3 linked regions of the Caenorhabditis elegans genome follow. The protein of the gene in region 3 interacts with the protein of the main gene of each other region in a pairwise test. Each region holds a gene or a part of one and is shown on either strand. Other genes may lie near its edges. The genes, in order: sma-6, daf-4 and tsp-14.

Region 1 (9,199 bases), on a different chromosome or scaffold from region 3:
AGAAAATGGCTCGGAGAAATGAGTCAACGCCTGAACGAATGCAACTACACGAGCAAGTAAGTTAATCTGTTTATTTTAAATTTTTTATCGATCGATTTACAGATTGCCAACATTTCTGTGACGTTCAATGACATTCCTCGCTCGGATCACTCAATGACTCCAACAGAACTATGTTATTTTGATGATTTTGCTACTACGCTTGTCGTCGACTCGGTTCTCAACTTTACTACCCATAAAATGAGCAAAAAGTAAGATAATCGGCCTTTCTATATCTCGTTCATTATTAAAATTTCAGGCGACGCTATTTGTATCAGGACGAGTATAGAACGGCTCGAACAGTTATGAAAACATTCAGAGAGCAACGAGATTGGACCAATGCAATTTACGGACTTTTGACTCTCCGAAGTGTTTCACATTTCCTCTCGAAACTTCCTCCGAACAAGCTATTTGAATTCCGTGATCACGTTAGTTCATATCCTGAAATCTAATTTTAACAAAATTGCTGTTTATTCCAGATTGTTCGATTTCTCAATATGTTCATACTTGATTCTGGGTACACCATCCAAGAATGCAAACGCTATTCGCAAGAAGGTCATCAAGGTGCAAAACTTGTTTCAACTGGGGTTTGGAGCCGCGGCGATAAAATTGAGCGGCTCAGCGGTGTCGTGTGCCTGCTATCCAGCGAAGATGAGGATTCTATACTGGCTCAAGAAGGAAGCGATTTCTCTGTGATGTACAGCACAAGAAAACGCTGTTCGACTCTATGGCTAGGTCCAGGTGCCTATATCAATCATGACTGTCGGCCGACCTGTGAATTCGTATCACATGGAAGTACAGCTCACATTCGAGTATGTTTATTGATATCATGTTAATTTCAAATGTGTAAATTTGCAGGTTCTTCGTGACATGGTTCCCGGTGACGAAATCACCTGCTTCTACGGCAGTGAATTCTTCGGTCCAAACAACATAGACTGTGAATGTTGCACTTGCGAGAAGAACATGAATGGAGCTTTCAGTTATCTCCGTGGAAACGAGAATGCTGAACCAATAATTTCGGAGAAGAAGACCAAATATGAACTCCGCTCACGATCCTAAATCATAATTTTCAATCATTTTTACAAATTAATTCATGTTCCATGGCCAGTGTAAATACGATATCTTTTACGAAGAGAAGCATTGGCTTTTCTTTTCTTTAAATTCTGATATCAAATTTCTATTTTCAGTATAGCACAGCCCCAGTACCAGTACCGCAGTTTTCAGTACACTAGATACCTGAAATCCATAGCGATCCCAAAGAAACTTTCTTCCCCCTTTCCTTTTTGGTTCTTGTGTGTGTACAACGATCTCTATCTGTGCTCTATTTTGTTTTCTTATTTTCATTCTTTAAAATTCCAGATTCATTTTTGAAATTACAGTATGTCTAATCAATAAATTATTTATAAGAAGATGATACACTTTTTAATTAAAATACACATTTTAAAGCTCAAATAAATGTAGGTACGGTTACCGATTGTCTCATTGGATCTCGACACAAGCTGACTAATTTTGATATCAGCAAGTATCAATTTTTATAATATTGGTCATCAATTGCGATATTTAAGTATGGCGGGATTTGAAAAAAAGTAAAAAGGGGATAGAAATCACCAGTAAAAGTTGTTTAAAAAAACGAAGTGAACATCTTCCAATCTTTATACAAGTTTAACTTGATCTGAAGTGGTAAACTTTTGATAGCTTATATCTCAGTTGTCGTAGGTTTCTTTTTAAACTTGTCAACTAACAAAATATTTGTTAGTTCTTTTTCTATCGTTTGTATTGTAATATTTATTGATATATTTAATATTAAGTGAGATAATACCCTTTAAAGCAAAGCAGCAGGGGCCAATACTAATAGAAGGATTACGGTATTTCTGATTTTTACACCAGTATTTAATGTTTTGTTTCAGTTCTGGAGAAGTGATTTGCAGAAACAAACGTTCACAGTAGTCTTCTTTTAATCATTTACTGTTTGTCAGGAAATTAGTATTGAATGCCACACAAAAAATACTTTAAAATGAATATTTCAATATTATTTTAATTTAATCATTTAGATTATCCAGCTAAAGAACTTATCTAGATACTAGATATTAGGCTCAATCCCCCACTGAGCCCAATATCTCAAAAATCATCTAGCCTTCAATTTTGACCCTCACCCTCACAAAGTTCTCATCGTTACTAATCATATTATTTTTAACGAGCCTTTGTCAATCCGTTGCTGCACCTTCGTACACCAATTAAAAGTATCGATCTATATGTGGACTGCTCCGTCGCCCCCCGACGTTGCATTGTTATCGATGACACCGCCCATTTGGTGATAGGCAACCATCTTTTCTGTGTCTCAACTATCTACCATTCCATAAGCCCACCTACTTTTGTGTCACTATAAAAGAGAATTGTGGTGTAGGTGATAACAGTGCTCTTTGTATTATTATCTACAATTACTTCGTATTCATATTCTACTCGAAAACCGCTTGTTCTTGAACTGGAAGAGTGCCATAAAATCATGACAAAGTACGTGATATTATGCACATTTTCTAGTTCAAGACTTGAGAAATCGGTTAACTGTTTTTGAAACAACTTCTGATTTTTGTTGACGGTAGTTTTTGCTATCATGAGTTCCGGGTAAATATCATATACTGTAAGACATTTGTTAGAAATCACAATGTTTCTTTGATTGATTATTTCAATTTGCTTATGGGAAACTCTTAAGTCAGAATATTTTTTTAAGCTTTCCCAGTTCCAATTTACGTTTGCTTCTTTTTTTGAAAACTTGATTCCTCTCTTGATAGGCACTCTCATCGAATACAAGAGCCTTGATAATTTAAGACTTAGAATTATACAACAAAAATCTACGCAAGGAGTCAAGATGTCTGGGATTTGATGTAATCATAGAGACAGTATACAAAAAAAAACGAATACAATTAAAGGACCTACTTAGATTGTAAAGTTTCTGGCACAATTTTCAAATCTCCCGTAAAAAAATTGTGCCAGGTCTATAAGAAAATACATTTCCTGCTTCGACAAATCAACCTTAACTGTTTCCATTCCGTATTAAACTGGAATTAACTATAATGAAACAATTTCTTAAAAATTCAATGGATGGTTCTTTGTACATGGATGGTTCTTTGAAAATTACTGTATCAGAACAAGTTTCAATTTCAATATAAAAACGCTGATGGTTATTCAACGATTTGCAAACACCGTGATAAATCTCGCTGATTTGCCGATCTTTCTGGTTTGTGTGCGAAGTTAAAATTGAATTTATCAAATTTACAATTGAAAAAATACTTTAAAAAGCTTTGTGAAATAAAGACTTAGTTGCATGCATCATATTCGATTTCTACAGTCAAGTGATTCACCTACAAAATAAATCCAGACAGATGGACATTTTGCCGTAACTTGCAGTGCAGAAATTTCTTGAAATATTTGATATCCTTAAAAATTTTCTAGTCGAGATTTGTCAAAATTAAAATATCATGAATCCACTTTTAACTTTACAAAAGGATGATCTTCTAAAATATGTGATAAACGAAATAAATTGTGAAAATGATATCAGATGTGCTTTGTGTTTTAACGAATTAATGTTTCATTGTTCCAACTGATGCAACTTGCAGTTGTCTCCCTTTTGTTTCACCCAAAAGAGTTGTCTAACGGTGCAGTATTATCTTATCAAACCACGTACAAGTATGCCTATATTTGCTCACAAATGCAGTGCACACCAATCCAGATAGATTCAGATAGAGAGATAATAAACGTACATTTAAACATGGTTGAGCTGATAATTTTGTTTGCTCCGTCTTCTGCCACAGGGAGCGCAAGTTAAGAATTTGTCTTATCGGCAATCTATCAAGGAAATATTAGGCAATGATGGACAATAATGTCGCATAATTACAACACGAACGTACAGGTCTGGAACAATGTTTATTCACAAAAATTGCAGTAAATCGAGATGAGAACAAGTTCATAAGAGTTGCACAATTAAAAAATTGATGGGAAATTATTAGAGAGATCGCTTTAAATTTTGACCGTTGTGGAAATATGAACAAAACTGAAAAAGTAAAATTGATTTTAAAGAAGCCAAAAATTTTGGTACAACGAAAGTAAGATCAGAAAGTGGGTTAAGATTGATTGGTGGCTGACTCAACAAGGCCACTGTCTTGCTGTTGGAATTCAACTTTACGCTGCGATTGATTCTGAAAACATAGAGTTAGATATAGCTCCTTAACGTGTTGAATTACCTGTCTGTCGGGGTTTTTGATCAACTCAGCCATTTCTTTTTTCAATTTAAGAGCAGAATGTCGGAAGTGTGGAATTGAATGCCAACTGTCTTCCATCAACTTGCTCAATTCATTAAGTGCTGGGACGTTTTTCCAGGCAAGATCCGGTGGTGGACGTATTCGACGTACACAAATTACATCGTTCATCTCGTCAAAATTGGGATCATTGTGCACGATTCCATCGAATGGTGGGACATGTTGTTTTGCTTTCAGAGATGTAGAATGTCCTTCTACATTTGTTTTTTGTAGATGCATTCTCGATATATTACCAGATGAACTAACTGACTCTCCGATACCACTTGATGCACTGTGATCAGGAGAGGTCTCATCGACAGTTAACACTTCCTCACAGGTGTTTACCTACAATCATGGCCTTTATTTTAAACTCATTGAATAATCATACCTCAACCCTGATTGCAACTTCCCACATAACAAGTGCCATTGAGTAGATATCTGCCATCTTGAACTGAGAAAAATCTTTTGGATTCAACTTGTTTGATATCAGTTCTGGAGCCATATATCGTTTTGTTCCAACTTGAACATTGAATTTTTCAGGGAGAATTTTGTCGTTTTGACTGAAAACATTATTCTTTCTAAATTTCAGAACAACTAAATCTTTGGTTTTCAGATGCATCATTTGAAATAACTCACTATCGTAGTGCCAAACCCAAATCAGCGATACAACACACATTTGGTCGTTTGACTATAATATTCTTTGATTTAATATCTCGATGTGCAATTTCAGGTTTTCTAAAGCTTCCAGTTCCGTGTACAGCTGCATGTAGATGTTCAATACCACATATACAACTGTGAATAAGTCGAAGAGCTTCATCTGTTGTCAATGTTTCTTCACGGCAAAGATAATCTGATAAAGATCCCAGTTCATGATAATCAGTGATAAGAAGCATCTTTGTCATTGAATCTTCCTCACTCCAAATATCAGCCGCCACGAATTCTGAAACAATTCTTGAAATTCAAAGTAATTTTACTGAAATAGCTTACGAAGGATATTTTCATGATTGATCATGTTAGTTTGATATACATCTCTTTCATTTTTCCATGAATCTTCATCAGTTGTGTAGAATGTTTTTACAGCCACGTAACTTCCACGATACAGAGCTTTGCGAACTTCTCCATATCTAAAAAATATAGGCAACAAAGATTAAAATAAGAATTAATTTTACCTTCCCTGTCCAATTGTTTTAATAATTGTTAAATCTTGTCTCACTGTCCTTTGGATCAACGCAGCCTGCCCAGAACCACTTCTGAAAATTGTATTTGTTAAAAACATCACTTTCAAAATAATGGGTATGATATCTCTATATCGCAAATACTCTAGGAAATAAAAACGAACCCTGAGTCTTCGAGCATTGATTTGCTCTCCATGTATGTTGATTCTGTTTTCAGAGACACCGTCTTGGCTCTGGCTCTGGCTTTAGATTTTTCTTCTGAAACAAAATATCAATTTAGTAATTTAAAAACTGTCTCACCTGCTCTTGTAATACATAAATAAATACATCCAATGACTGCAAAAACCGACATGACTGTTGCAAATACCATTATGAACATTTTTCCTCCACGTGTCATGTTTTCCAGTGGAGAATCATAGTCTTCTGGATTGTCAGTTTTCTCTTGAAGTGCTTTCTCTGAATAGTCCCTGTTAAAAAATTTAAATTAAAAAAAAACTCACCCTTGTGATGATGAACATATGCCGGCGGAATCAAATTCTTATTGCAATAGTTACCTTCATAGCAACAACCAATACTTTTAGGAGAATGGTGAGCTGCTCTCCAAGAATTACACTGAAAAACACCTGGTGAAATATTTCAAAAAACTCGATGAAACACCGTCAAATGTGAAGCTCCACTTCCTCTTTCCAGTGTTGCACATCCCCATTTATGAAGAGTTTCCATTCGTTTTTCAGCTTTGTTATAAACCTAAAATTTATTTTTATAATTTTGAAAATAATCATAATTGCAATAACATCGATTTTTCAAAAAAAAAAAATTATTATAATTTGTCAGTTTCAAGAAATGAGAAAAATCCATTCATTAAAAAACTGGTAACGCCTAGATCATATGTTGCTAACCTCCATGGTGTAAAAATATTCCAAAAAATAAAACGGAAACTTTCAAGAGCTACAAGTTAATTTTACCTCTTCAACGGCATGATAACAAGCAGCTCCATCTTGTTTCACACATGTCATATTATTTCCACATATCGACTGATCATAATTGCAATAACATCGATTTTTCAAAATATCATTGGGTCTGTTCCGAAGCTTCATCTCTTTTAAAACTTGTTGCCTGATAAGAAAAACTGAATTTTTGATAAAATATAAAAACTCATGTACCTGAACTCCTTTGGAACTCCTATTGCATTTTTTGGAATGCTCAACGCTAAGTCTTCATCGTCAAAGTGATCATAGTCTTTTGAGCATTTTTGAGTATTGAAAAATCCGAAAATGAGAATAAATATAAAGGTGATGTTCATTAAATCTGAAATTTGCAAATAAATTGATTAAAATATATTGTTAATGAAGTCAGTTGCGAAAAACATGAAAATAGAACGAGTAAAGACAGAGGTAGAGATGAAAAGACTGTTTGCCGAGTTTCCTCTCCGTTTCGTACAATATTTCAATCTACGGCCTCTTCTATCAGTACACTATCTCTCTTAACTATCTCATCATTCACTTAATGTTCTTTTTGACAACTTGTCCGCCTAATGATACTAATGATCTGAACGGAAAAGTTGCGCCAAAATGGATATATGTATGACCGGAGAATAGGTAGAAGTGCGGCGCCTTTCTGTCGCGCCACCCCATAAAATGACGGGGTCATTAAATGGCGTGGCGCCATTTTTCTGAGAAAAATAGATGGATTAGATTTATGTAAAAGAGGGTTGCACCAGGTGTTTCTTTTTTTCAATATCTATTCATTGTTTCTATCGTTTGAAGTTTAGCGATTTTTGGGCACCGGATGAATACAAGATTCGGAAGGGCACGACAAATTTTTATAGTACTACAATTAAAATCGTCAGTAAGAAAATATCATGAAACCATGCTTATAGTGCAAAAATGTCCCAATACCATAGTAACACCAAAAAAAACTGAAATTTTTTATGTATAGTCACAAATTAGTGAAGAACTAGAAGTCGGCAAAAAAAAATCTACGAGTTTTATTTTTTTGTATTCAAATGTTGTAGGGGTTTACCGTTTGAAATTTCTTAAAAATTTACTTTTTTGGAAAATTTGGCAAACACAGGGGAAAATAATCATAATAGGGAAAGTAACAAAATAACAAGTTACAATATTGCTTCGCCTATCATAATTTTGAAAGTCGACCAATAATCCTACTTTTGATCAAAGAAGAGCTCAAAAATTTGCAAGAATTCCGAAGTATTTAAAAATTTGGAAATTTGCCAAAACTGAAAATATTGAAAAATCTGAAACAAGCTTTGAGTTTTGGTCATTCAAAAATGATATTTATTTGACAATGAAAATCTGATTCTACATTTCCTTCTTTGTTGTTCCCAACTTATAAAATATTAATAGTTTACTGGGGACTCGACAAATATTATTTTTTAAAGAGTTCTGAGCACTTATCGGAAATATCAATTTTGTAATAGTATGATACGTTTTGAGGGCACTTTAGTTTATTCACAATACTGGGCTTCTAGAAATTTTAGAAAAAATGAAACTAATGTTTTGAATACTTAAGTTAATTACCAGTGCCAGTGTTTTAGAATAAAAAAACACTTTATAGGATTCTATGAGTTTTTGGAAAGTTCAGTCCCGGCAAAGGTTGCCGAAAGCTTCAAAAAGCGAAAGTATAAAAAGTTCTGAAACTACAGCTTAACACAATGAAGCTTAAAAGTTCTCACATTATGAATATAAACATGTAATGTACTGGAACAAGAATATAAAATTGAAGTCCAAAAAAGACGACAAAATAATGAAATCTCCAAGGCAACAAGAATGGGAAAAGATTCATGATGTATATTTTTTCCTGACAATAAATAATACGCAAGGGAATTGTTTTGAAACTAATATTATTTTTACTGCCACACTATTTCATTCCGTGACATTCCAACTAAGAACTTCAAAACGAAAAAATATTGACGATTGGAAAAAAATAAATCAGTTTTTGATTATTTCGTTTTCATCAAAAATTAACATCGTACGCAGTATGTTAAAATGCAAAGAAGACGATTTCGAAGTGATGACTACACCGCCGGAAGAAGCCGAAATGCGAGAAAATCCGAATGAAATGAAACGTCTCTTGACGCACATGTCCACAACCAATACACCATTTGTTGTGCACGATCGGACTGGTCTCAGACTCTCATTTGCTGGCCTTTTGCCCATCACAACTGGTGACAATGGAGAACAACGCATCTGGTCATCAAGTATCATTTTGAATAGTGCAGAACTTGGTGAGTTGACGTCGAATGAATTGGTTCTTGGGACTCTGGACTACTACAAATTTTGGTGCAACTCTCTGTGAAACTTTAGTCTCTGTCAGTGTAATTTTGCGTTGATTTGGTACAGTTGGACAAGCTTTCACTCTATCGGAGCACAATTAGTTTTGCTTACCTCTGTGACTCGTGGTAGTACGTAGTTTTGCAATTTAGATTTCTCGAACATTTTTCAAAACTTTCTTCTCGTAGAAGAACTGTTGTAATGTCAAGAACACGGATTGCCACGATTTATTAAAGATAAGCTGTAACGAGACTGGCCATGTTGCAGTGTTTCTAGATGTTATAGCCTCGAACCTGTCTGGAGCTCCGAGAAAATAGTTCTTTGAGTGTGCTAACAACTTGAATACAACTCAATCGTCCGTCCACATTTCAAATGACAATTTTCAGAATATCCCGAAGTCAAGTAC
Region 2 (11,964 bases), on a different chromosome or scaffold from region 3:
AGAGCGCTGAAATTATTCTCTCAACAAATCGAACGCGTGGTTGTTGTGGAGAGGAAGAAGAGACACGGGCGGCCGAATAGAGAAAGTTAGGCGTACGAAAGAGGCCTGAAACGCAGACATGTAGACAAATGCAAGTCCATCGTCTCTTCATTTCGTGTACTCTCTATCGTCTCTTCCCAGTTGACGACCCGAACACACGGCTCACAATGCCCGGGCACATCGACTAAATGATTGCGCGGGAAAATGAGGCACCCAGGTTCCACCTCACCGTCTTTTTCTCTTCCTCTCTCTTTTTGCTCTTCTAATTTCCGTTGGGTGAATACTGCTTCCCGGGTGTACCTTTTTTTGAGCTCGCCAGTTGCAGAAAAGTTGTCGACCTACTTTCTTCTTTCAAGTAGGCAATCGGCAATAATGGTATTTGCGATAGAGCTATTTGGGCAATTTTAGCATCTAATGGCGGTTGCCGAAACATTGCCGAGAATAACTAAATACTAGAAGTGTATCTCCCTGACAACCTCATTCTTTTTCTCCTCAAGCTGAAAGCTCCAATTTGTCATAATTTGCAACTTTGAAACTTTTTCTGATTGTCAAAAATCTGCAAACTCACCTTCTTCCTGCTTTACACTTTTTCATCTTTCGTTCAATTTTTCTATCTTTTTTTCTAACAGTTTTAGTAATGTCAAACATTTAGCTTCGTTATCTTTTTTCTCTTGCACGCCTGAAAAGGGTTGCCAACTTACAAGATATAGCAAACGTTTTGACAAATATTTTGTTAATTGAATTTTTAAGTAAATTTTACCATTCTTTCTTTTTTTGGAGAGAATAGAGAAATGATACATTCTAGCTTCTATGCGGTTCCCTTTAACATTCCTTGATAACTCTCAATGTTCTTGGCAATTATGGAAATTCCAGAAAATTGTATGTTTAGTATCCATGTTCACTTTCCGCTAATTTCTGATCTACTGTTCAAGTTCTGACCACTTAAAACATCTCCCCCTGAGTGTCCTGCAAAAAAAGTTATATGTGACTTTTTCAACATTTTTTCAACCCTCCCTGCAAATCGTTTGACCTATTTGGAGTGCGTCGTGGGCGGGCTGGTAATGACCATCATTTTCCCAAATAAATTATTTTCGGAAGTGTTCTTCACGGTTTGTGTTTTGTAGTCAAAGTTCTAGTGAAGTTGTTTGCAACTTCGGAGTACTTTGCTGTCGAGGTATTTCCGTAAGAGTTAGGAAAAATAATGTCAATTGACAAATTGTAGGAAAGTTTGTGCTGAACATATTTGAGCAATGATTGTGCTATTTTTTTTTGCCAATTCTGAGTTATATCACTTCATAGTTAATATTTTTTGATATTTATAATCGCAAAATTCATATAAAATCTTAAACTTTTATTCCCACTGACCATGAATAATATTAATTCACTGAATAACTGATGATAAGTACCCAATCTTTTTTGTTTTGTCTCTCTTTCTCTCACTACTATCTCTCTTTTCTCTTTTTCAAATGAGAAGAACTAAAGCAAACAAGTTGTGTCCTTTTTTTCACTAATGTTTAACCTCGAACCGACAGCGAAACCACACTTTTTTGCTGCAATTTAACGTTTTCTCACACGATTGGACCTTTTCATGGAGGTCTTTTATATTGATTTTTTTGAAGATTTAAAACTGTTTTTAAAATTTTTATACTTTCGACCCATCATCAACATCAAGTTTATTTTCTTCTTATAGGTAGCTAACCCCATAATTTTTGCGACATTTCCTGTTTTGAAAATGAAAAAAAAAGTTGCGAAAAATAAGTTAAAATGCTACAAGATTTATGTTACAATTTTAAATGTTCTCATGGAAGAAAATAATAAAAAATGATTATTTGGAAAAATAAATACAGGTTGTTCACGAGGAGTACTTGAACTAATGTTTTGAATTTGATCTAGTTATACGGAAAAATTTGAAAAAGTAAACATAAGTTTAGTTCCCGCCGAATTAGGTAGTATGTATTTTTTAATAATTGAAATTCGAATAATTTATTTTTTTTCTTGACAATTATCTCTTTTCATATAATTTTCAAAACCGTCGTGTACTCATCGTGAGCAATATTGCTTGTTCTTCGACCTCTTACTTTGAACTCGATGGTTCCTTCAGGTATTCCGAGGCCTTCAGGTTCCTACTATTTTGCTCTTTTCCTTCTTCTTCTTCTTCATCTAACATAAGAGAGCTTTGGTCTTACACGCCTGCTGCTACCCTCTCCTCCTTCTTCTGCAACAACAACAAACCCACCGTGGTCACATGTGAATTTCGCCGAGTTTCACGCTCTTTTTCCCCCTTTTCTTTTTCGGCTTTTGCTGCAAAAATAGAACGAGTGAATAATACCCAGAAAAAAGCGAGTGCTTTGTTGTTGTCAAGGTAAACACAAAAAATATATGAAAAATGTTCAAAAAATATTCGTTTTGACATTCTCTTCTCCCACTTAAGTCGCTTGATTCAATGTGACGGGGAGGCTTGAGGCAGGAGGAAAAGTATAAATTCACCTGAAATAACGAATGGTGACATGTTTTTGAATAAGAAGAAGGAAAGGATGACGTTGAGTGGTACTTTCTATTTTCGTACGTTTTACAGAAAACTTATTGAAACTTAGCGCCCGACATCTAGCCCAAACTTGGACGAACACCTAAGCCTAAGCCCAAGCCTAAATCTCATTTTAGACTTTTAGCCGAGCCCACGCCTACTCCAATTCCGTTCTGCTGAAAAAAACATACGTTTTCCTGGTACCACGCACGAAATATAATCCTGAGAAACTTTTTTTGGTTACATTACATGTGTATAGCACATTATTTAATTTTTCCTCGAATTGCTAGTGTATTTTGGGAACCGAAATATGGAAAGTCCAGTTAGTCCGAACTTCGCCCATTTCCTATAAGGTGCAGGTGTTCATCGATACTATATTTTTCTCAAAGTTCCCGTTCTATAGACCCCGGAAGATCCCGCCTTCATTCTGTTTGGGCCCCGCCCAACTTTAGCCCCCTCCGATGAGAAAAAGAGCACAAGAGGACAGCGAGCCCCTCTTGTAAGGTTCTTGTAGGTCAGATTGTCACGTCATTTGATTTTTTGTTGTTGTTTATTAGAGAACATTGAATGAAAACCTTTTTTTATTTGAAACAAAAAGTAGAGAGTAGAGTTTGTAAAAGTGATAAGAGTGTACCAATCTTTGCTGTTTCCTCGTTCTTTTTCTCTTTTCTCTCTTCATTTCTGATGTGTGCTTCTCACTTCATTTTTTTTGCAAACTTTTTGTGCTTCCTTAACACTTTTCACATCTTTCGTTTGATGGAGATTGTGCAATTTATTCCTATTTTTACGGAATTTTTGAAAAATTTGGTTGACATTTTTTAGTTGAAAGTTTTGAACTCTCATGGTGCATCGAAGTAAAATTCAAACATTTTATTTTAAAAAAATGAAAAGTTTTTTGTTAAAAAAATTGGAAATTTCGAATGTCGAAATTCGAAATTTTTTTATCCGAAATTTCGATTGCTTTTATTTGAAATTAAGAAATTTAATTTTCATCAAAACTAAATTTTTAAAATTTTAGCTGGAAATTTTAGCAAAGCTGGCAATTTTATTTAATTTTATCGAAATTTTCGAATTTTCGAATTTTTGAAATTTTATTTATTTTTTCTCAAGTTGAATTTGTTGACCTATTTTTTTTATTTAAATAAGTTTGCATCTATTTTTCTCAATAAAACATTTGATCTTAATTATTTATTTATTTTACTCCTCAACTTTAAAAAAAACGTTACAATAATTCAACTACCTTCAATTTTCAGATGAATCAGAAAGGGACAGTACGTCTCAAGGCACTTGTGCTCATTTGCCTTCCACTCTTTTTAATTGCCACACCGGTTCCTGTTGCAGTCACGGAAGACGATCGTCAGGACCGAATCGAATCGGAAGCCGCCGAGAAAGAGGTGAGCATTTTTTGAGAAAATGTGTTTTTGTCGTAAACTTCTTTATTTTATTCTATCTCCTTGGTTTAACCATCTTTCAGTGGGCTAACACCCTAGTCAGCAAAGTAGCACAGTCAAATGGAACTGGCACTATTAAGGTCTCGGCACCAGCGAAGCCCACGTTAAGGAGAATGGACAATGAGGAGGATGAAGTGATTTCGATTGAATGTGTAGTAAGTTTTTGGATCAATTTGATGGAATTTAGGCTCATTAGATAGTGTTGACGTTTTGGGGATCAGAAATCAGTGACTCTCCCGTTTGTTTAAAAATTACTGGATCAAATACACTTTAATTCCAGTGAGCCCTGTTCCCCTTGTAGAGGTCGCAGAGCCAATCCACCCACATTCCACTGATCCTTGTTTCAATTAACTATAGTTACTTTAAAGTACCAAGATATTCTAAAAGGGATAAGTTCAAACCCGCAAGCTACAATAACTACAACTCCTTTTGTTTTTCAAGTGTTATCACTATTCCATAATTATAGGCTCTCTTCCCCAAAATTAAAGCAGTAGTAAAAACGTTAAACTTTAAAATTTTGCAGTACTACGACGAGATGGAATGCGAAAAGAGTGGCGATTGTGAAATCACAAAGAAGACGTGTTACAGTGAAGCTCATCTGAAAGCCGTCGGATGCTTGGCCGTATTTGGGCTGCCCACGCAAGAGGTTAGTGTGGAAGAGGTTTTTGGCGGCCACCCCCAGACCGAACTGTGTCACATGACGGGGGCCCTTTATATATATTGTTTCATTTGTTATTCATGAGTGACATCTTCTTCCTCTTCATCCGCGGAAGTATTTGTATCTTTTGCATTTTTTTTTCCATTCTGGCTTATGACTTTGTCAGCTGGAACAAATTGGGGTGACATGACTCGTGATTTTTGATAGTTTTGTAGGATGGAATTTGAATATCAAAATTAAAATCAGAATTGCATTAGTTTTATCGAAAACAAATACATATGAGCAAGGTTTTGGCCTTTTTGAAGACGACTTTGAAAATTTACTGAGCGACATAGGATTTAAACGTGGAACTTGATTCAAATTGAAAAAAATACTGCGGAAAAAGTTAATGATCAAGGCTTTATTATTCCTTTGCTACAAAGCTCTTCAAACCAAACTTAAAAGTTGTTGAGTTTATCAATCCAATTTTGATCGAATCCATTAAAAATGTGCAAACCAACTAATCCGGATTTAGCTGCCCATGTTTCAAAAGATGATTAATTGAGTAAAGGGGATAATAATAGATATATGCATCCATATTATAAACATCAAAAATCTTAAAATTTCCAGATAAACTCTACAGAACCATACCTGAAAGTTGATAAACCGCAATACAAAAGTCTGGGATGTATGCCGTATCAGCACGCGGACTCGATGAACTGCGAGAACGAAAGCTCCGTAAGTTATATTTCAGCATTCGGAGCACCTCATAAAACTGGAATTTCAGTGTCGCCAAGGACGATCATTTCGCGGCGGAATTGGAATGTGCTGCTGTTCGACCAACAATTGCAACATGCCGGATCTCATCGAGATGGTCAACCCGTCATTGAAGAAGGGTCAGTGAGCACATTATATTAAGAGAGCACTATATCCCATGTTTAACCCCATTCTTAGTATACTAGAGCAACACGCAATGATTCTGTTTTTGTGAATATACATATATATCACCTCCTTCTTTTTACCTTTTTTACCTTCTTTCTGTCCCACTTTCTGTTTAAATAACCTTCTTTCGGGTGAGCGTTGGGGCTAGAGGCTAGGGAGAAATTGTTGGCATTGAAATGAGAGGTTTTCTGTGAAACATTTAGCTTTAAGTTAGCAGAATTTTCACGAAAGTTGAACAACCACGCGTGTCTGTGCCTAGTTATTTTTTCGAAATACGGTTCATCATACGGAGGTTGCCTCCCATCAACTAAAATACGACAGAGTTGGAGCACATTCGAGAAAATTCCCAGGAAGTTAGACAAAAATGTGGCAAACTAACGACGAGTGTAGGGAGATAGTGGACGGAAGTTGGCAAACGTTGCGAGCAAATGAGAAGCACCAAATTGCAATATGTCCTAATGTAGAAGCGTTCAGGCGAAAGTTCGAGAGAGTTTGGCGATGTTTGGTTTGAGCTCGGCCACAGTAATAGGGAAAGTGACGCGAAGTGTGATCAATCTGAGTCAAGCTTTCGACAAGTGAAAGACGAGAGTAGGAGTTGAGGAGCGGGCCAGATGGAAGACGGAAGCTGCGACGAATCTTCAACTAATTTATGAGCGTTGAAAAAAAAAGTTGGAGAGAGGTTATGGGGTTATTCAAGTAGTGTCGGAAAATTAAAAAGTGTAGAAAAATTACGTCACAACCTTATTCAAGTAGATAAAAACATGTATTTAAATACATTTGTGACGTCACAAATGTATTTAAATGCATTTTGCTACATTACTTGAATAACCCCATTAGAAAATTTTGAATGGTCTCTACGGATCTCAGCAAACGTTCGTCCAAACTGCGACAACCTTATGACGCGTTTATGATAAAATTTGAAGTTGAGACAATGAGAGAGAAGGATAACCGAGCAGAGGTTGAGAAGAAAGCTCGAGAGAGCTTGGCAAACATTGAAAGATAGTTCAGCTAGCCCTGAGACAATATTTTGCGCCAAAGCTGAACAAATTTCCGGTGGAAGTCAATCGGAAATTAAGAAAAATATGGAGAACTTCCCATTACTTTAGCTATACTCCTCCCAACCTTTCCCCGTGTACCCTCAACCTGAAAGAATCCACCTCTGTAAAAGCCTGCAGTTGTCATAAACCTTGTTCCCAATTTCTCTTCCCTTTCCTAATTTTCTCCGAAAAAAATGCACGTGGACCTCTCCAGATTGTCTCCTAATTTTCTCTTACCCCTCACACATACACACACACACCATTCATGCAATTTTATGTTTGTTCTTGTGGCTTTGCAAGTAAACCACTTTTTTATTTCAACTTTCTTTTGTTCTTTCTGTTTCTAGAGGCGATTCGCAACGACACTCTGCTGTTATTTGGCTCCTCCCCTCCAGTGAGCGGAGTGTCGTTGCAAAGTGAAACAAACGCTTTTTCGTAATAATTTGCACCCGTGGAAGATGCCTGTACACACACACACACATACAAATAAAAACATGTACACATTTTGAAATCACCTATTTAGAGCCGATAAAATTTCAGATTCGGATAATTCTGCACTTCTGTGGGCTTCAACTCCATCCAACATGGATTTGGAATCTCTAGGTACTGTCTGCATCTACGTCTCGGGGCTAGCTGGGTACTAACTAGGTGCTAAACACCCTCTACCACACATCCCCCACTCTTGTCAGTTTCTCAATGGAGCGAATTTGCAGACAAGTTCCCATTCTACTGGATCATCATAATCGCACTGTCAGTGATCCTTTGTATTGCACTCTTGATCTTGGCATACGTTGGTTGGAAATTTCAGCAGAATAAGAAGGAGGAGATAAAAAAGCAGCAGAAAATTAAATTTGACATGGCGAGTTTTGTCTTTTTTGAAATCGAATCAATTTTCGAAATTTTCAGGAAAAAACTGACGCACTGGAAGCTGGAAATGTGCCTCTCGTGGAGCCGGAAGAGGAAATGATTGAAATGGTGGAGACACCAAAGGAGCTGCCGATCACTGATTTTCAGGTATGTAGGTACCGCAAGAGTCGTGCTTGATATTTTATATTGAAACATGCTCTCTAAATCTAGAATACAACATTTGAATTTTGAAAAAAAAACCATATTGGTGAAACTTTTCAGCTTTACATGAATTTTTTAAAAATTATCAAAAACAATTGTTAACATAACTTAAAAACAACGAACAATTCTGAAAACATTTGAATTTATGGTTTTTTAACAGTGTCGGGGAACGTTTTCATTTGGCATTGGAGCGCATTTGCACTTTGATTTCAAAATTCACATATTTCGCGTCTTCATAATAGTTCGTCTTTTTGATATTTTGCTCGGAAGTTCGACCTCACGGTGTAAACTTTTGATGTCCACTACTTTGTGAACTCTGAGCTTTTCCTTACTTTTTCTTTATCTTTGAGAAAAAATGTTGAAAACAACAGAAGGCTCTTTTCATGAGCTGATTGACGTCACACTTACACTCAATGACATTTGTTCGTTTATTGCAGTTAATCTCAAAGGGACGTTTTGGAAAAGTTTTCAAGGCGCAATACACCCCAGACAGTGGTGAGAAACGATTGGTTGCGGTGAAGAAATTGAACGAATTCCAAAAAGCGAGCTTTTTGGCGGAGAAAAGAATCTTTGATGAGCTTAACGAGTACCCGAAGTGGTATAAAAGTATCGTCGAATTTGTGTGCGCCGAGAAAATTGGTGATGAGTATTGGATTGTGACCGAATTTCATGAGCGACTTAGTCTCTATGAGTTACTCAAGAATAATGTAATTAGTATTACATCTGCCAATCGAATTATTATGTCAATGATCGATGGGCTTCAATTCTTGCATGACGACAGGCCGTACTTCTTTGGACACCCAAAGAAGCCAATTATTCACAGGTTAGTGGAAAATGAAAATAATTAGAAAATTTTTAATGGATCTGACTTGTGATCGCCCTCCAACTAGTTTTAATGCTCAGAACTTTACTCTAGGTTGGTCCTAGAAAAAATCGGAAGAAGTTGCTAAGTTGCGCTTGAGCAGCCGACATTTTCAGGATCAATTAATAGTAGCGTGGACCTACAAGTTGTCGGCTGCAATTTCCAGTAAATATTTTTTGAAATACACACGATAGAGTCCAAAATGATAGGGTAAAATATTGAAAAAAAAAAACCAATTTTTAGGCGCATGACAATTTTCAGTTGAAGTTTCGAAAAGTTAGGGTTTAGAAAAAAAATAAAAATTCAAACAATTTTGTACATTGGAACACCTAAAGTATCTAGAGTTAATTAGAACATAATCAGAATATAAATTTCGCGGGAAAATTGTGTACAAAGTGTTATTATGATATTCGGTTTACTATCGGAGAGATTCTAACCAATGCTCCCAGTAACACTACGTTACCTTTTAAGAGCAGGTAGCGAGTTTCAACGACGCACGACGCTGGTTAGTGTATGCTCCAAACTGTTTCTAATGTCTGTACTTATTCAATTCAATAACCAATTTTTTGCAGAGATATCAAGTCGAAGAACATTCTTGTGAAAAGCGACATGACCACATGCATCGCGGACTTTGGCCTCGCCCGAATCTACAGCTATGACATTGAGCAAAGCGATTTGCTGGGTCAAGTGGGAACGAAACGCTACATGTCACCAGAGATGCTCGAAGGAGCAACCGAATTCACGCCAACTGCTTTCAAAGCGATGGACGTTTATTCGATGGGACTCGTCATGTGGGAAGTCATATCCCGTACCAAGTTGCACCAAACCGACGAGCCACCAAACTACCAAATGCCGTTTCAAGTCATCGGATTTGATCCCACAATTGGTCTCATGAGAAATTATGTGGTGAGCAAGAAGGAACGACCACAATGGAGAGATGAGATTATTAAACATGAATATATGAGTCTGCTAAAAAAGGTTACGGAAGAGATGTGGGATCCCGAAGCGTGTGCACGGATTACAGCTGGATGTGCGTTCGCGAGGGTATGGAATCATATTATGAGCTCACCGGACAGTTCGGAGGGGTATCACAGTGGAAGTAGTATGAAGAATCGGGGTGTTGATGATGTTGAACAAAGTGAGAAGCCGGAGGGTATCGAAGAAATGCAACATTATCATGCGTCGTCACCCAGCAAGAGACAACATCCTAGTCCGAATCCGTTTTTTGATTCGTGTCCACCACCTCCGCCGATTCCTGTGATCCTTGAAAATGGTGAGTGTACAGTGAATCGAATAAATAGTTGACATGACCCGTGAGATGTCGGCTGCTTGTGAAAAGCAGTTTCTAAATTTTAGGTGACTTCCCAGGAGATGTCGGATGCTCAATGCAGCATAGCTTTAAACCTTGAGCAGCCGACATCTCACTGACTAGTTATACGTTTGTGTAGGTAAATGTAGGATGCTGGTAAATGACCGACCGACATCTTATGGGATACGAATGGCTATGCTAAAAAACATCTCACGGCTAATTAATTGGTTTTGTGGTAACAGTTTTCTGAAATGATTGGCTAGTCCCTAGCAGCCGATGTTTTGTGAGTTCACTGATGTTTTAAGAGTGCCCGCTGCGTGAACCAACGAGCAACCGACGTTTTGCGGGTTCCAAAACCTTATTTGCCTGGCGTAACTAGTAAAGTGTCGCCTGCTATTTTTCCTTTTTTATAAACAAAAATTATTTTTCAGGAGGAATCCTCCAACCAGACAACGCGGAGCCAGAGCCCGAAGAGCTGCCGGATCTCCCGATAGTCGAGAAAATCTACGATATTGCGACGAACATGCTATTCTCAAGAGAAGAGCTTGACCTTATGAATGCTCAACGGCAAGTTGAATACGAAGCTGGGGCAGACACTCGAGCGTCGACACCAACGCCTTCAGGGACGTTTGGAACGTTTACAACATAACTATTCATTCAAATCTAACATTATTTTATATTATGATTATACTCCCATCCTCTCCTATTCTAGTCTATATGTAGCGGTGGACACCTCACGGGCCCCTCGCCGCTGGCCCACCACCTTGTCTCTACTTACGCGTCCCCTAATGATCTCAATTTGAGCACAACCGGTGTATATATCAACTTACAGACGTTCAATATAAGAACCGCTAAAAGTTCTATGTCTTCGTCGTCTAAAACTCTTCCAAAATCTCTGATCTCTTGCATTGTCTCTCACTCAACCAAGTTGCCCACTCTCATCCAACTAACTCAAAAACTTACCTCAGCCCATGGGGCATCCCCATATTCTCTCATTCATTCACTATATTCATTGATCTGTGATAACTTTGTATTGGCAGTTCACATCACACAAGAATCTTTTTTTGTATATCAGTTGATTATTTATTCTTCATTTTTTACACTTAAAATTAAATAATGTTTCTTGCTATTCACGAAAAATTGACATTTTTCTTTTTTCAGATTCATCCGGAAATACCCATTTTTAGACAGCTGATATGCCTCATCACCTGCCACTAGTTAGAATGTTTCCTTCACTTCTTATTTTGTTATTGACTATCAACTTTCCGTCTATTTCAACATAAAACATTTCCTTGTACGGCAGTAGCCAACCGACGCCTATTTTTGTTCCTAGCCCTTCTTTATGTTAGCTTTTTAATCCAAAAAGCTTTCCACTCACACAATCTTTACTGGGCCCGCAGAATGTCGGCTGCTTCCAGTTCTTGACAGCAGCAGCCGACACCCGACGGATCACATGCTAAAAGTCAAAAGTTCACGGTTTTTGAAATTTCTCTTCTCCTCCTTCTTCAACAGCAAAAAATAACATGAGGGAACCGATCTATTCTTAGTGAGTAAACGCAATTTGGCTCCTTCTCTCTATTCGTCTTGTACATCAATCATATTTGGCGTGTCTTGTCCCTCTCCTTCCACTTTTCAGAGAGACACTTCTAAGAAGAATTCGATGTTTTGTGTGTGTCTGTGTGTCAAATTGAGAAGCGTGCGAACGAATTCGATTGAGGCTCCAGTCAGCACAAGCAAAAAAATAAAGCTCAGTCTTGTCTCGAAATTCGAACTCACCGTGCTTTCTCTCTCTCTTTTTGTTTCGTGGATTGTCGCTTTAGACCACCAGGAAATGGTGGAGGACATCTCAGTTTTCAAGATGGGCTATCTGAGCTCAACAACAAGAGACAAACCCAATTTCTTTTTTGTTATTGAGTTGTTTGAAAAATAAGTTGTATTTCTTTCAAAATAAAGCAGCCGACGTCTTACGGCAATTCTGAACGAATCCGGCTGCTCGTACAGATCTGTCGCGATCAAAATGGGCAACAACTTCTTGGATGCGCGAACCTTTTATGATGTCGGCTGCTCTTTTTTGTTATCACTGTGAGTGGCCGAC
Region 3 (11,923 bases):
TCAGACAGCTGCGACACGGAAAACAAACCGCCGTACAACAAAGTTGAACAATTACTATTTTCGATTATTTGAGCACATTTTGAGTTTACACGTTCAAAATTCCCAGAACCGTTACTGATCCTTTGAAATAATTTAGTGCATTTTTTTTGAAATTATTTTTCAAATCAAATCTTAGTCACGTCACTTGAATTGATAACTTCTGTCAAACCCACGTCCTGACTTGTTTTGACACACATCCCAAGAAACTGTCACTAAATCCGTGTTTCAGAGCTTTCAATATGAAAGAAAAAAGCTAGTCATATACATGAAGGACGCGTGAGTCGACTTATCGCCAAATAACAAGACGCGCGGATTTCAGTCGTAATAAAGCGGTTTAAGTCGACGATTATCAGCGGGGCGGAGCTGCGATGAAATCCAAAATCCAGGCGAGGAGGAAAGAGCCATTCGTTGTCATTCAATCTTCACTTTCCATTCCAACATGGGCTCCTCACCTATCCTCCTGGTACTCGCCATCTCGATCGGCCTAGCTAGTGCTTGTTTCCTGAACTCTTGTCCGTACAGGCGATATGGTAGAACTATTCGCTGTTCCAGTTGTGGTAAGTTAAAAATTTAAAGGAATCCGAACAAAAAATTATCTTATGCTCTAATTTAGGAATAGAAAACGAAGGAGTTTGTATTTCTGAGGGAAGGTGTTGCACCAACGAGGAATGCTTCATGTCAACCGAGTGCAGCTACAGTGCCGTTTGCCCAGAACTTTTTTGCAAGGTTTGAATTTAGCATGTTGAAATAAGTAATAATGTGACGGAAGTTTAGATTGGACACCACCCAGGATATTGCATGAAAAAGGGATACTGCTGTACTCAAGGTACACTTTTGAAACTTAAAAAATGTAAAACTATACAAGTTTGGTTCCAGGTGGATGTCAAACAAGTGCAATGTGTTAAACGGATCAAGCAAGCAAAATCTTCAGGAATGTCAACTCTCAAGCGACCAACTTTTTTTTGAATTTGTTGTGCTTTGAAATTTGAAATATTAATAATAAATGTCGTTTGAATGTTTGAAATTCTTTATTTACAACATCGAGGAATCAATTTAGAAAAAAAACAAGCTAAAAAGTGTAAAGCGATGGCTAGAATTCCGGACAATGAATAGGCAACTTGTTTGGCGACCCAAGTATGAAACAAGAAAAGACGATGTTTGAAAGTAAGTTGTTGCTCATGGCCAACTCTGTTGAGCGGAAAGAAGAAAGTGGTACAAATTTCTATGGAGCACCAGATTGTGTATGGCAAATTTAAAAATCGGTCTAGGTAGATAGGAGATGAATTTTTGGAAAGAGAGATGGGGTGGGGGGGAGGTTGAGTTGGGGGCAGAAAGAAATGGGAGGCTAAAATAAGTTATATCACCGCGTTCGAGACAGAAAGATTTGGTATGTATGAAACTGAAACAGTTGTTAAATTTGAATATCATTTACTATAACATTTATGATTTGCTTTTTTGAGGAACCAAATCGGTTTGCTGCAGTACCCATTGATGCGTTCGATTTGTCGTGGTTGCCTGTGGCGTTGGCGCGGGTCCTGCCGCGGCAGGAGGTGTTCGAGTCGTTGTCGCAGTCCTTTTTCGACGAGCTGCCGCGTTTTCAACCCCAGCAGATTTGGGCTTTCGAGTTGGAGAGCTACTCGCGTTTCGTGACTTTTTCCTCGGCACATGCTCAATTGGTGGTAGCGGAGGCGGAATATCCGGTGGTCTCGGCCTTGTCTGAAAACAATATTTTTAAAACAAAGATGGTCTCAGACATCTTTCTGATTTTCCAATTCATTTGGTGGTTTTCGAGAAGCTTTAAGAGAAATGCCCTATGCTGGTCCTTGCGAAACTACAAGCAGTTTAGTAGCCCCCGCGGTGAGAAATGATGTGATGATGACGTGCATAATATCCTCCTGTTTACAAAAACTCTTTGGAAGAACGATGATTAAGATTGTAAGCTTGCAATCCGTTGCAGGAGGAGCGGGCAGATTTAATATATTTTTTTATTTTTATTATCAAAATGTCGAGTTTTTTGTTTGCATTTTTTGAAAACATTTGCGTGAAAAATCACGAAGTTTAAACAATCACGTAGTTCAAAGAATGATCTAATTTCACTAATGGAGTACATCATACTTGCAAAAAGTGTTATAAAATCTTACGGCATTAGCAGAAGCGTTGTTGAATTTTCCTTCTTCAAGTAGATCCAACGAGTTCAGTTGATCTCTACGGTTATGATCTCGCTTTCGCCGTCGATCGTTTCGCCGTGCTTCCCGCTCCAACAGGTACCTCTGATGGTCGACTTGTTTTGCAAGGATGTTGGTGAGACACACCGAGATACACTGAAATTTCAACTGTTACTGTGGAAATTGTGTAATTTTTGACATACCACTGGAACAATGAGAAGAGCAACGAATGCTCCAACATGCACTGCGTGGGACTCGAAAAGTGTCCGAAGCGGCTGAAGGCATCCGCGGGTGTAAATATCGTGTTCCAGGTCGCCGGGTCGTTTTGTTAGAGCATTTTGCCAGCACTCTAAAGATCTCATTGCAGGTAACAGTGGATTTGATGATCCAGCCTGAAAATAATAATAATACATATATGTAACTTGTAACATCAATATAACATCAATATCATTTACTATATATAAAGCGCGTGTCCTTCTGTCCCTATGTAGTTTGATCTTTGATCAGAGCAACGAAATTTTGGGAAACCTTATGCTAAATGCGCAGCAGACATCGATCGAGGTCCGCGATAGACACCGTATATCTAATGTGTTTTCTCAAAAAAGTCGGGGGCCGCGCCGTAGGTGCGGTCCACGGCTGGTATATGTATAAGTAACATCAAATCAAATGCGTCACATTTAATCACACATTTTTTGCATTAAAAACTTATTTTGTTATCCGAAATTCCTTGACTCAAATAGAAACATTTTGGATCGGAATAGAAAACATGACTGATCATGTTTTAGAGTTTCTATATATATTCTTTGATAATTCCGAGAAGTAGGTATAATAAAAAGTCTGGGTGGTAAACTTATTTTTTATTGGAGAATCGGAATTGGAAAAGCGGAAATTTTTTATTGGTTCATCGCCTAGTATTACCCGTGTTATTTTGGAACTTTGTAGAAGTGCCTTTTTTTGCAAAGAAAATGCGCCTAATTTTGCATATTGAATATTAATATTTTTCAAAAATCTAACAACATAAAAACATACCGCTTCAGAGATAACAGACTTCCTACAGCATGAAAATGGAACTCCACACTTTTCTGGTTGAGGATTTGAATTGGTACAGTTGAACTGGTAGCTCATGTTCCAGTCTCGATATCCTTGAGCAATAGATGAAACTCCACAACATTCCAGCTAAAGATATTTACTTTCGAAATCTGTTAGCGATTTATACATTGTGCCTATAGTGTCTATTGTGTCACAAAATACGACCGTACTTTCTATTAAATTATCTTCTTACATTTTCTTGAAGTGCGTCCATGATTTCAGCCAGGTTTCGATTGGTGTGGTAGTTTTTGACGGCATAAAGAAGTAACCAGTTTGCAGAAAGACCCTAAAATATAAGAAACTCAATCTCTATTAAAGATCTACAAGTAAACTACCTCTGTGGTGTCCGTGTAGAACAATGTGAAAAAGACTAGTGTCACTGCCACGACTAGAATGTAAGATAAGAAGACACAAGCGGCAAACTGAAACAATTTTCTACAATTTGACACTTTTTGGGAGTTCAAGGCTTACACATTTGAGCAAGAAAATATTGTCGCGCAAGGCACCCATGAAACCGAAAAATGATACAACGCATATTGAAAAACCGAATATACTAATAAGAATGGCTGGGTTTAGAATGATATCCACCAGCTTAACCTCTCGAAAATCTTTGATAAATAGGTATACTCCGAGTGCTAGGATTCCAACTCCGACAAGCTGCAAAAATGTTTTCTGGTTTTTAATTTGATATTTGTATTTGAGCAGATTAGATTAATTGAATTTCATTTATAGATCTTGTTTTTCCTTTCTCTACTTTTGCCGCCAACTCTCATTTGGAAAGACTCAAACGTTCTCAATTCTTTATAGATCCATACGTGCCGCATAGACGCAGACATGGCTTATGCAAATTAGGAGCTGATGCAAAGAAAGGTCATCCTCAATTAACATTCGGCAGGAAATGCACAAACACCGAAAAGGCAATTTGGATGAGAGGGGGGGGGGGGAAGGTGAAGCCTAACGCACTTATGAACTTGAGTGCTTCTGAAGGCGAACGCGATGGGCTATAGAAGAAAATGGGGTAATTGGCTTACAATTTATGACTTATTCAACAATTCCCTCTTATTCATGAAAATGGTTTACTTGTTCTTAAGAACTTGGAAGCTCAGTTGCTAAAATTAATGGCTCACTAGAAATAGGATATTTCAGTATGAAATAACTGATCGTTGACAATTGCCAATAAGTGTTAAAGGCCCGTAAATTTAAAACTCTTTTTGATGACATTTTTGTTGAAGTTTGCTAAAAAAAATTCAACTTTAACATTACTTAGACTTCATACCTACTTAAAACAAAATTATTTAAAAAATGAACCGTGAGAGCAAAAAATCAAAACGTGAATATTCAAAAAAAAAGGATTTTCTATTGCACCCCACCATTCCACATTTAAAAATTCTATCTCGGCTGATTTTGAAAAAAAAACTAAAAAACTGTAGACAAAGATGGTATGCACTACTTACTACGGTGCAGTTTTTTGCAAATTTCGAGCATTTTTTAAATTCTTTTCTCATTACAAATTCAACCATTCTTTTTTCATACAACTTTTCTCAAATCCACTGTACCGTGACTCGGCGCTTTTCTCATGGTGGCCTACAGTCCTGTTTGAACAATTCGAGTAAATGACCCATTGCTAATGGCCAGCATTAGTCCAGAAACAAAAATCCGATTGGCTAGATACGAAAGGACAAGGGCAAAATACAATGAGTCTCTACATTCCTTTTTGCAAAACCAATCAATCTGTGGCGGCTTTGTTTGGATGTTTAAACCTAGAGGCAGATGGTTGCACGAAACAGGTGCATACAAAAATTCTTCTTAAGGTGTTTGATGTCTGTTAAACAAAGACCCTCACCCATCTAATAGACCTATTCAAATCCTATGGAAGAAATTGAAGTGAAACTCCATTATACTCAATACTATATCTTCTTTTTCGAAATTTCTCAATTTAGGGAATTTGCAACTTTGACCACTTTGACTTACGAAGACAATTGAGTTGAGTAGGAAGACGAGCCATTTGAGGCATGCAGATATTTCCTGTCGTGGTTTGCGTTGCTTGTGTGATGATGAGACCACCGCGCGAGCTCGCGTCGGCTCGCCGGAGCCCATCAGCAGACACTGTTCCCAGTCACAAGCGCCCGGTGCGCTGAAAGAATGTGATTATTAATTATTGGGGCGATAATAAACAAATGATAAGAAATGTGTGATTTTGATGAATGTGAATGGGTGTTATGAGTGACGGCAAAGAGATAGAAGACTTTCAAAGCTGGCTATTTAGCTATTCAAAAATTTTGTTGCGAAATCAGTGAACCGCGAAATGGTGGAAATCACAATCAAAATGCAAAACAAGTCTAGGCAAGGAAAATGGGAAATGGAAAATAAGACAGAGAATAAGATACCTGCGTGACCAACAGGATAACGACATCTGTCAATTAGGATGAGCAGATGCGGGAAATGGAAGATGAGCCCCCAATTACATGTCTCAATAATAGAACAAGAAAGTGAAAGTTGTTGAACAAAAGGAACGGGGGTTACTCCCTCCCTTCCTCATGTAAGTTGTGATGAAGGTCTGGTCTTTTGCACGAAAGTCTAATCAAGGAAAGTGAAAGAGAACCAGGCAAAAATTGAGGATTGATGGATAGACGCCACTCTCAAGCACCCTCAGTGTGTAAAATTAACTTCAAAAAATTCCAGCAGTCGACAATCTTGTAATTAGTTCAAGTTATCTTCTCAAGGGTAGAAGTTTTTTTCAGAAAATACTTCTTTTCAGATAAAAATCGTCAAGTACTGTGCCAAAAAGGTATCACCACCTAGATTTTCGGTTGTTTTGCAAATTTTTCAACGAGTATAACTTAGAACAACAAACAATGCTATGAGGAAACGTTCAACTGACAAAATATTGCAAATCACTTGTTTTTTTTTTGTTTTTACATGTTCAACTTGTTTACAAGGGTCGTGGCAAAAAGCAAGGCGACCCACAGGTCATGAGTCCATTTTTGAGAATGGTCAATTAATCGAATGCCACTCTAAAAGAATATGTTGAATGGAAAGTTGTAGAATCAAAATAGAATTCATATAATGTTTCATTGCTTGCAGTTATTAATATTTTTTCCAAAACCGTGATGAAAACACATATGAAAATTTCGAAAAAGTTTACAGTTGCAAAAAATAGAAAACTTATAAATTAAAAAAAAAAAAGAATTTTCCATTTAACATCTGGTGTTTCAGTTACAGTCGATATATTAATCAACATCAAAAATAGACTCACGAGATATTGGTTGCTTTATTCTGACCTCAACTCTTGTGAACATTTTAAGCATAAAAAACTAAGAGACATAATTATGAGGAAAATTTTATCTGTTGAGCATTTTTGCATAATATTTCTGGTTTCTGAGTTGAAAATATTGCTAAACTACCGATCTACTGAAAGGGGATACCTTTTCGGCCAGCACTGTATACAAAAATATAGAGAAAAGAAGGAAAAAAGAAAAATAAGTCATTGAGGGTTGCCGATATAATTACCGAAAGTTGGTGTGAAAGTGTGGGCCTAGTCTTCTTCTGAATATATGGCAAAGCAAGGAAAAAATTTAAGACAAAAACAATTTTAGTAACATAAAGGTATGGTATAATGATAAAATGTTTAAATATCTTTTTTCAAATTAAAGGCAAGTTTTTTTTGAGTAAAAAGTGGTGCATATTGAATTGAAATCTGAAGCACTGCCGCATGAAATGTTAGAATATTAATACTTCAAAAAGAATTAAAACATAAACTTGGAAAAAAAGGTGTTTGATCGACGACTTCCAAAATAAAAATATTTCCTTTTTTTTTTTAAGTTTTATAATGATATTTGGCAATTTTAGTACTCCACCTTCAATTTTCACAGTAGCAGCTCTTTCAACTGAAAATCTAAAATTGTACAACACGATACCAGACGTAGAAAGAAAGATGACAAGACAACGGACAGAGTAATGGGAGGAAGCACACGAAGATTGAATAAGACGATAGGAAAGAGGGACGTCGTCGTCCTTTTCGCCTTATGCTGCTGGTATCGTTTGTGGGGTGTCGAAGAGGAAAGGACGTAGGCTATGTATGTGTGTGTGAAACAAAGCCTTCCGCTTAAAAATGTACTTCAATAACTTTGAGACTTAGCCTTGAAATCAAGAGGCAAACACGACGGCTTGAAATGGTCTGGCGGCGCTTTTTCCAATTTTTATGGTCACTGGGTTAGCCTCCTATCTTCATGTTTCGCCGATCGAGAAGGATTCAATAAAATCGAAAAGAAGGAGAAACGGACGAGACAATGATCAAAACACTTTTTTTTTTGGAAATAGTGTAACAAAAATATTTAGACAATTGGAAAGTTTGGTTTTCAGAGTGGTACGGTATTTCAATGGGTGCATGAAAAAAATAATAAATCGGTTTTTCTTTTTATCTTGTGCCTATTGAAACAAGGTAACAATCATTGGATATAATTTATGATTAATGATAATTGACGATTTATGGGGGATCCATAAAATTTGAACGTCAAAGGTACTTTTTTGTGGGAAAGATTGGTCAAACTAGTATGACGCTTTTTTCGGATATTTTTTGTTCAAAAATAAGTTTGATTACTATTTCAGTTGGGATCTTATTGTTAATTGGAAAAAACAGGTAATTTCAAAAAAAAAGTAGTAAAAGATCACATGTGTACATTCTTTAAAAAGTTTCGTGACAAAATTGGAAAAGTTTTAAAATTTTCTTAGTTTAGAAAGATACCTTTCTAAAATATTTCAACTTTGATTTATATGTAGAGTAAATTTTAAACTATTATAAAAATTAAGTAGATTTCATTAATGAATCTCTGAATGTTACAGTTTTTTCCGAAATTTGAAGCACTGTTGCATGTTTGAAACCCTCAAATGTTGTAATAAGTTTATTACAAACCTAATTAAAAATTAAAATGAGGAGAAACGGTATTTTTTGAGCGACGACATTAAAAAATTGCGTAAACTGAGTTTTTACCACTTTTTGACTCGAAAAAAAATTGAAACATTTTTGAAACGTTTATGATATTTGGTTATTTTAGAACTATAGAAATGGTACTTCAACTCTAGATAATTTTATGTCATAATTTGCAAAAACTTTAAAATCCTGAATTCTGCCCAAAATATTTCGGAATTTTTCAAAAGTCAAACAATTACAATTTTCTGTGGGGTTCGACTACTTTTCCAACAATAAAAATTCAAAGCCACAATTGAAAGGTCTAATTAAAAACATCTTGGTCCACGAACACCACACGTGTTATATTTATTCCCCGGAACTTGCAAAAAACTTCTTCAGTGACGAAAACAGATGGTCACAAACAAACAATTTTGACACGTCGTCGTCATAGATCAAAAAAGAGGATGTGATAGCGGATAGAAGTGGGTCACTCAGTAACAATTGTGTGTCTCTTTTCCCTCTACAAAACAACACTTACGTCTTCATAAACCGTCGCGGTGCGCGATGGGGCATCTCATGTAGATTATTTCAGAATGGTTTCAGACAAAATTGATAGTAACGGCTGCCTAGCTTCAGGAAGTCGTTTAAAAAAGGAATATGGGCTTGGTGGGGAAATTGAAAGAACACTTGAAATAACGAGAACACGTCAACTATGAGAGCGGTGACTGGACATCAACTCTTCTCAAATAGAGGTCAGGCAGTGGATGAGGGTGGCTAGTGGCTAGCCAACCTCAGTCAACCGCCGCCAGGCCCAATAAAATTTATTCGCTATTATATTCTGTTCGCAAAAGAATGGATGAGATGGGCAGACAAGTGAGGGCTAGCATGTTTCACGTACTCGGGCTTCTCACCTGTTTCCGATGTGGAACTGGACATTCCGCTTGTTGTACTTTTGATATATTTACAGGTATAAAAGTGTTAAAATCTGCTTTTTGATCATAAATTAAAATAAAATATAGAAAAATAGTGACTCCAACTGAAAATACTATATCTAAAATAGGGTCTAAATAAAGCCGTTTAATTTTGAAAATGTGGCGAAATCTAATTTAGGCAAACGGAAAACTTCAGGCATTTTTTAAGGTTTTTTTTTTATTTTTCAACTAAAGTAAACATTATTTTGATATTTCAAATTAATTTTCAATCACAAAGTTGGTTTTTTCTCAGTTAAATAAGCAGTTTTGTTCGTTTGGCGTACAATCGTGGTACTAAACCCCTTAAAGAAAGAAGTAATTTTAGTGTGCAGTTGATATAAATATACATGATTAATTTACTGTGTACAAATATCATTCTTAAACACTTTCGAATGTTTTATAAATTTCACAAAATTTTAAGATAAAGTTTTGGCAAGTTGCCAAAATTTCAAAAGTCTAGATTTTTTGAGAAATTTAGATATTTGCTGCACGATTAAACCCTATATAACGGGCGCAAATCACTACTGACGCTACTTTGCGTTTGAAAAATGTACCCAACAAAATTTGGCACATTTTCAGCACACCTAAATAGTTCGCCATAATACAAAAATACAGTGAAAATACCCAAAACTTGATTAAGAGAACTTTCTATTTTTATTTCTTTTCCACTCGCTTTCATTTCTCCTTCTTTGCGGAAAATCTAATCTTATAAATTCATCAAGTGGACTTGAAGAAAGTTTATGGAAGGAGAATATCGAAAAAAAAACACACACACACATGCCTGCGCAGGCGCGTTTTCAGTTGGTGGCAACTTCAGATTCTCGAAAATGAGATGAAATTGGGGGATGGAAGCAAGAAAAAAGAGAATGATGTAACAGGTTGGAGAACCAGTCCAGAAAATCGCAACATATTAGCTTGGTCGTTGTCTTGGAGTGATAAAAAAGTGGGTAAGTGACTGTCGTCTTCTTTTTCGTTTCCTTGTATCACTTCGCTTGTTCCATTTAACTTCAAAAACGTTTTTGAAACAAGTTGAAGTAAAATGATGAAGAAATGCTTGCTTGGCACGGAATCGAGTAACCTCGAACACGCGTTGAATAATTGGTCGGTGGTCGAGAATAGGAACAAGCAGGTACCAAAAAAGGCATTGGCGGCCCGTTTGTCATATGGGAGTGAGGAAACGAGAAGAAAGAAAGAGGGCGAAAAGAGTAATGGTTGCAAAAAGGGGGAAGGAATACGAATTGTTGAGGAGCCCATTTAGATGTCGTGAAATATTCAAACTGCTTCGGGGTCCGAAGGCAACTAATTTCTCGAGTTGGAGCCATGTATCAAATGTTAACAACTGAGCGGGCGTGTTCCCTCGAGATGGGGTAGGTCAGTCAACATCCTACCCAGAGAGCATATAATTTATCAAAAATTTCAGTATATTGAAACTAATATATTTTCCCTTGTGGTTCATGAATCATTATTTGAAACAGTAAATTTGTTGTTCAAAAAGTATCGAGTAGATAATTTTAAGTTTCATATGTGTACTATATTCTCTCTAAAAGTAGGGCAATTTTTTAAATGTTGGTGACTTGTAATTTGTTGGAGAAGAAACTAAATTTAATAACGTTGAAAAAGTAGATGAAAGTATACATTTTCAAAACTTAATTTCCAACAATTGGAGCAACTGAATGCAAAACTGAGAGAGACAACTAGATACAAGTCACAGTCTTAATTTTAAAAAAATTCAACCATACTTTCAGCCGATGACAGTCGGCACATTGCGACTTTGGTGAAGTTTTTGAGAACCTTCTTGAAACTTTTTAATGAAAAAGCAAATTATATTCAAAAATAACACACCAATTTCCACATTGCTGTAAAAAATCTAATATAAAACTTCTACACAACGATAAAAAATTAGATTTTTTTAGTGGGCTAAACAAAATGTGCCGCACATCCGTTTTGAAAAATTTACGAATACATAGCCAACTACAAGATATTTTTTGAGATTCAAAATCGCGTTTCTTACCTTATTGACGAGAAACTAGATGCAACTTCAATGTGATCCATAGCTAAGAATACGATACCAGAAAACACTGCAGAATGATAGAAATGACATCTGTCTAAGCGGATTCTCTAAAAACCAAACGAAGAAACCCCCGCTGAGTCAACGTTTTTGTCTCTTGACTGTCAAGCGACCTCCAGTCAAAATTATGGGCTGGTTGTTCGGAAATGAATCCCTTGTTCTCCTCACACTCCTTTTCTCATATTGAGGAAGCGAGAAGATAAGTGGAATAGGAAATCACGCTCCTTGCCGTTTCTTTGGTATTTTCCGTGTGGTTTTTTATTTCTCGAGGAAGAGATTGAGAAACACAAAAAAAACAACGTTTGTAAAAGAATAGGATTACAGTAAAGTACATATACATTAGTCGTAACAACAAGCGTGCTGTTTGCTAATGAAATGAGATGACCCAAAACGAGAAAAAGGAGGTAACGGAAAATGAAAAGAAGAAGTGAAATGAAGGAGAAAAAACACAACACGGCGATTGCGTCGGCGAACTCAAACAAAGTGCGATTTTGAACGTCGAACACGAGATCAGAGGATGGAAAAGGGTGCACTTGACTTTATCGATGAAAGAGCACAAATGAGCCAATGAATCAGATCAAACGAGATACTTTTCGAGCAGATTGGAAAATCACCAGAGTTAGGCTCTTAGGTTTCGAAAAAGTCAATTTCTGAGCCAAATAATGAGCAATAAAATTACAAT

Evidence for each region.
Region 1: the proteins of tsp-14 (region 3) and sma-6 interact in a two-hybrid assay, tested with the Caenorhabditis elegans proteins (one study listed by BioGRID).
Region 2: the proteins of tsp-14 (region 3) and daf-4 interact in a two-hybrid assay, tested with the Caenorhabditis elegans proteins (one study listed by BioGRID).

The regions. Positions count from the first base shown.
Region 1 is NC_003280.10:6,322,096-6,331,294, reverse strand, and holds sma-6 (Serine/threonine-protein kinase receptor sma-6), read right to left. Parts: upstream 6,812-9,199; 5' UTR 6,807-6,811; coding exon 6,667-6,806; intron 6,620-6,666; coding exon 6,469-6,619; intron 6,251-6,468; coding exon 6,161-6,250; intron 6,116-6,160; coding exon 6,004-6,115; intron 5,960-6,003; coding exon 5,804-5,959; intron 5,762-5,803; coding exon 5,668-5,761; intron 5,579-5,667; coding exon 5,498-5,578; intron 5,453-5,497; coding exon 5,316-5,452; intron 5,269-5,315; coding exon 4,965-5,268; intron 4,889-4,964; coding exon 4,717-4,888; intron 4,674-4,716; coding exon 4,275-4,673; intron 4,230-4,274; coding exon 4,155-4,229; 3' UTR 3,940-4,154; downstream 1-3,939. Other genes in the region: set-4 (Histone-lysine N-methyltransferase Suv4-20), read left to right, coding at 39-56, 103-248, 296-464, 516-848, 895-1,095; C32D5.4 (uncharacterized protein), read left to right, coding at 8,216-8,747, 9,180-9,199.
Region 2 is NC_003281.10:5,621,326-5,633,289, forward strand, and holds daf-4 (Cell surface receptor daf-4), read left to right. Parts: upstream 1-3,816; coding exon 3,817-3,957; intron 3,958-4,037; coding exon 4,038-4,169; intron 4,170-4,537; coding exon 4,538-4,660; intron 4,661-5,281; coding exon 5,282-5,389; intron 5,390-5,438; coding exon 5,439-5,547; intron 5,548-5,618; exon of another isoform or gene 5,619-6,881; intron 6,882-7,170; coding exon 7,171-7,233; intron 7,234-7,343; coding exon 7,344-7,489; intron 7,490-7,536; coding exon 7,537-7,644; intron 7,645-8,135; coding exon 8,136-8,521; coding exon of another isoform or gene 8,522-8,546; exon of another isoform or gene 8,547-8,773; intron 8,774-9,132; coding exon 9,133-9,833; intron 9,834-10,300; coding exon 10,301-10,518; 3' UTR 10,519-10,997; downstream 10,998-11,964. UniProt on the Caenorhabditis elegans protein: Involved in a TGF-beta pathway. May be a receptor for TGF-beta-like ligand daf-7. Controls the decision of whether or not larvae enter a developmentally arrested state, known as dauer, in response to environmental conditions.
Region 3 is NC_003284.9:4,865,633-4,877,555, forward strand, and holds tsp-14 (Tetraspanin-14), read right to left. Parts: upstream 8,862-11,923; 5' UTR 8,776-8,861; coding exon 8,741-8,775; intron 7,391-8,740; exon of another isoform or gene 7,256-7,390; intron 5,428-7,255; coding exon 5,265-5,427; intron 3,951-5,264; coding exon 3,765-3,950; intron 3,716-3,764; coding exon 3,629-3,715; intron 3,580-3,628; coding exon 3,487-3,579; intron 3,381-3,486; coding exon 3,234-3,380; intron 2,597-3,233; coding exon 2,408-2,596; intron 2,361-2,407; coding exon 2,181-2,360; intron 1,756-2,180; coding exon 1,480-1,755; downstream 1-1,479. Other genes in the region: ntc-1 (Nematocin), read left to right, coding at 479-596, 653-765, 814-865, 916-944. UniProt on the Caenorhabditis elegans protein: Functions redundantly with tsp-12 to regulate cell surface levels of the BMP type II receptor daf-4 (but not BMP type I receptor sma-6), probably by regulating endosomal sorting and recycling of receptors, preventing their targeting to degradative lysosomes.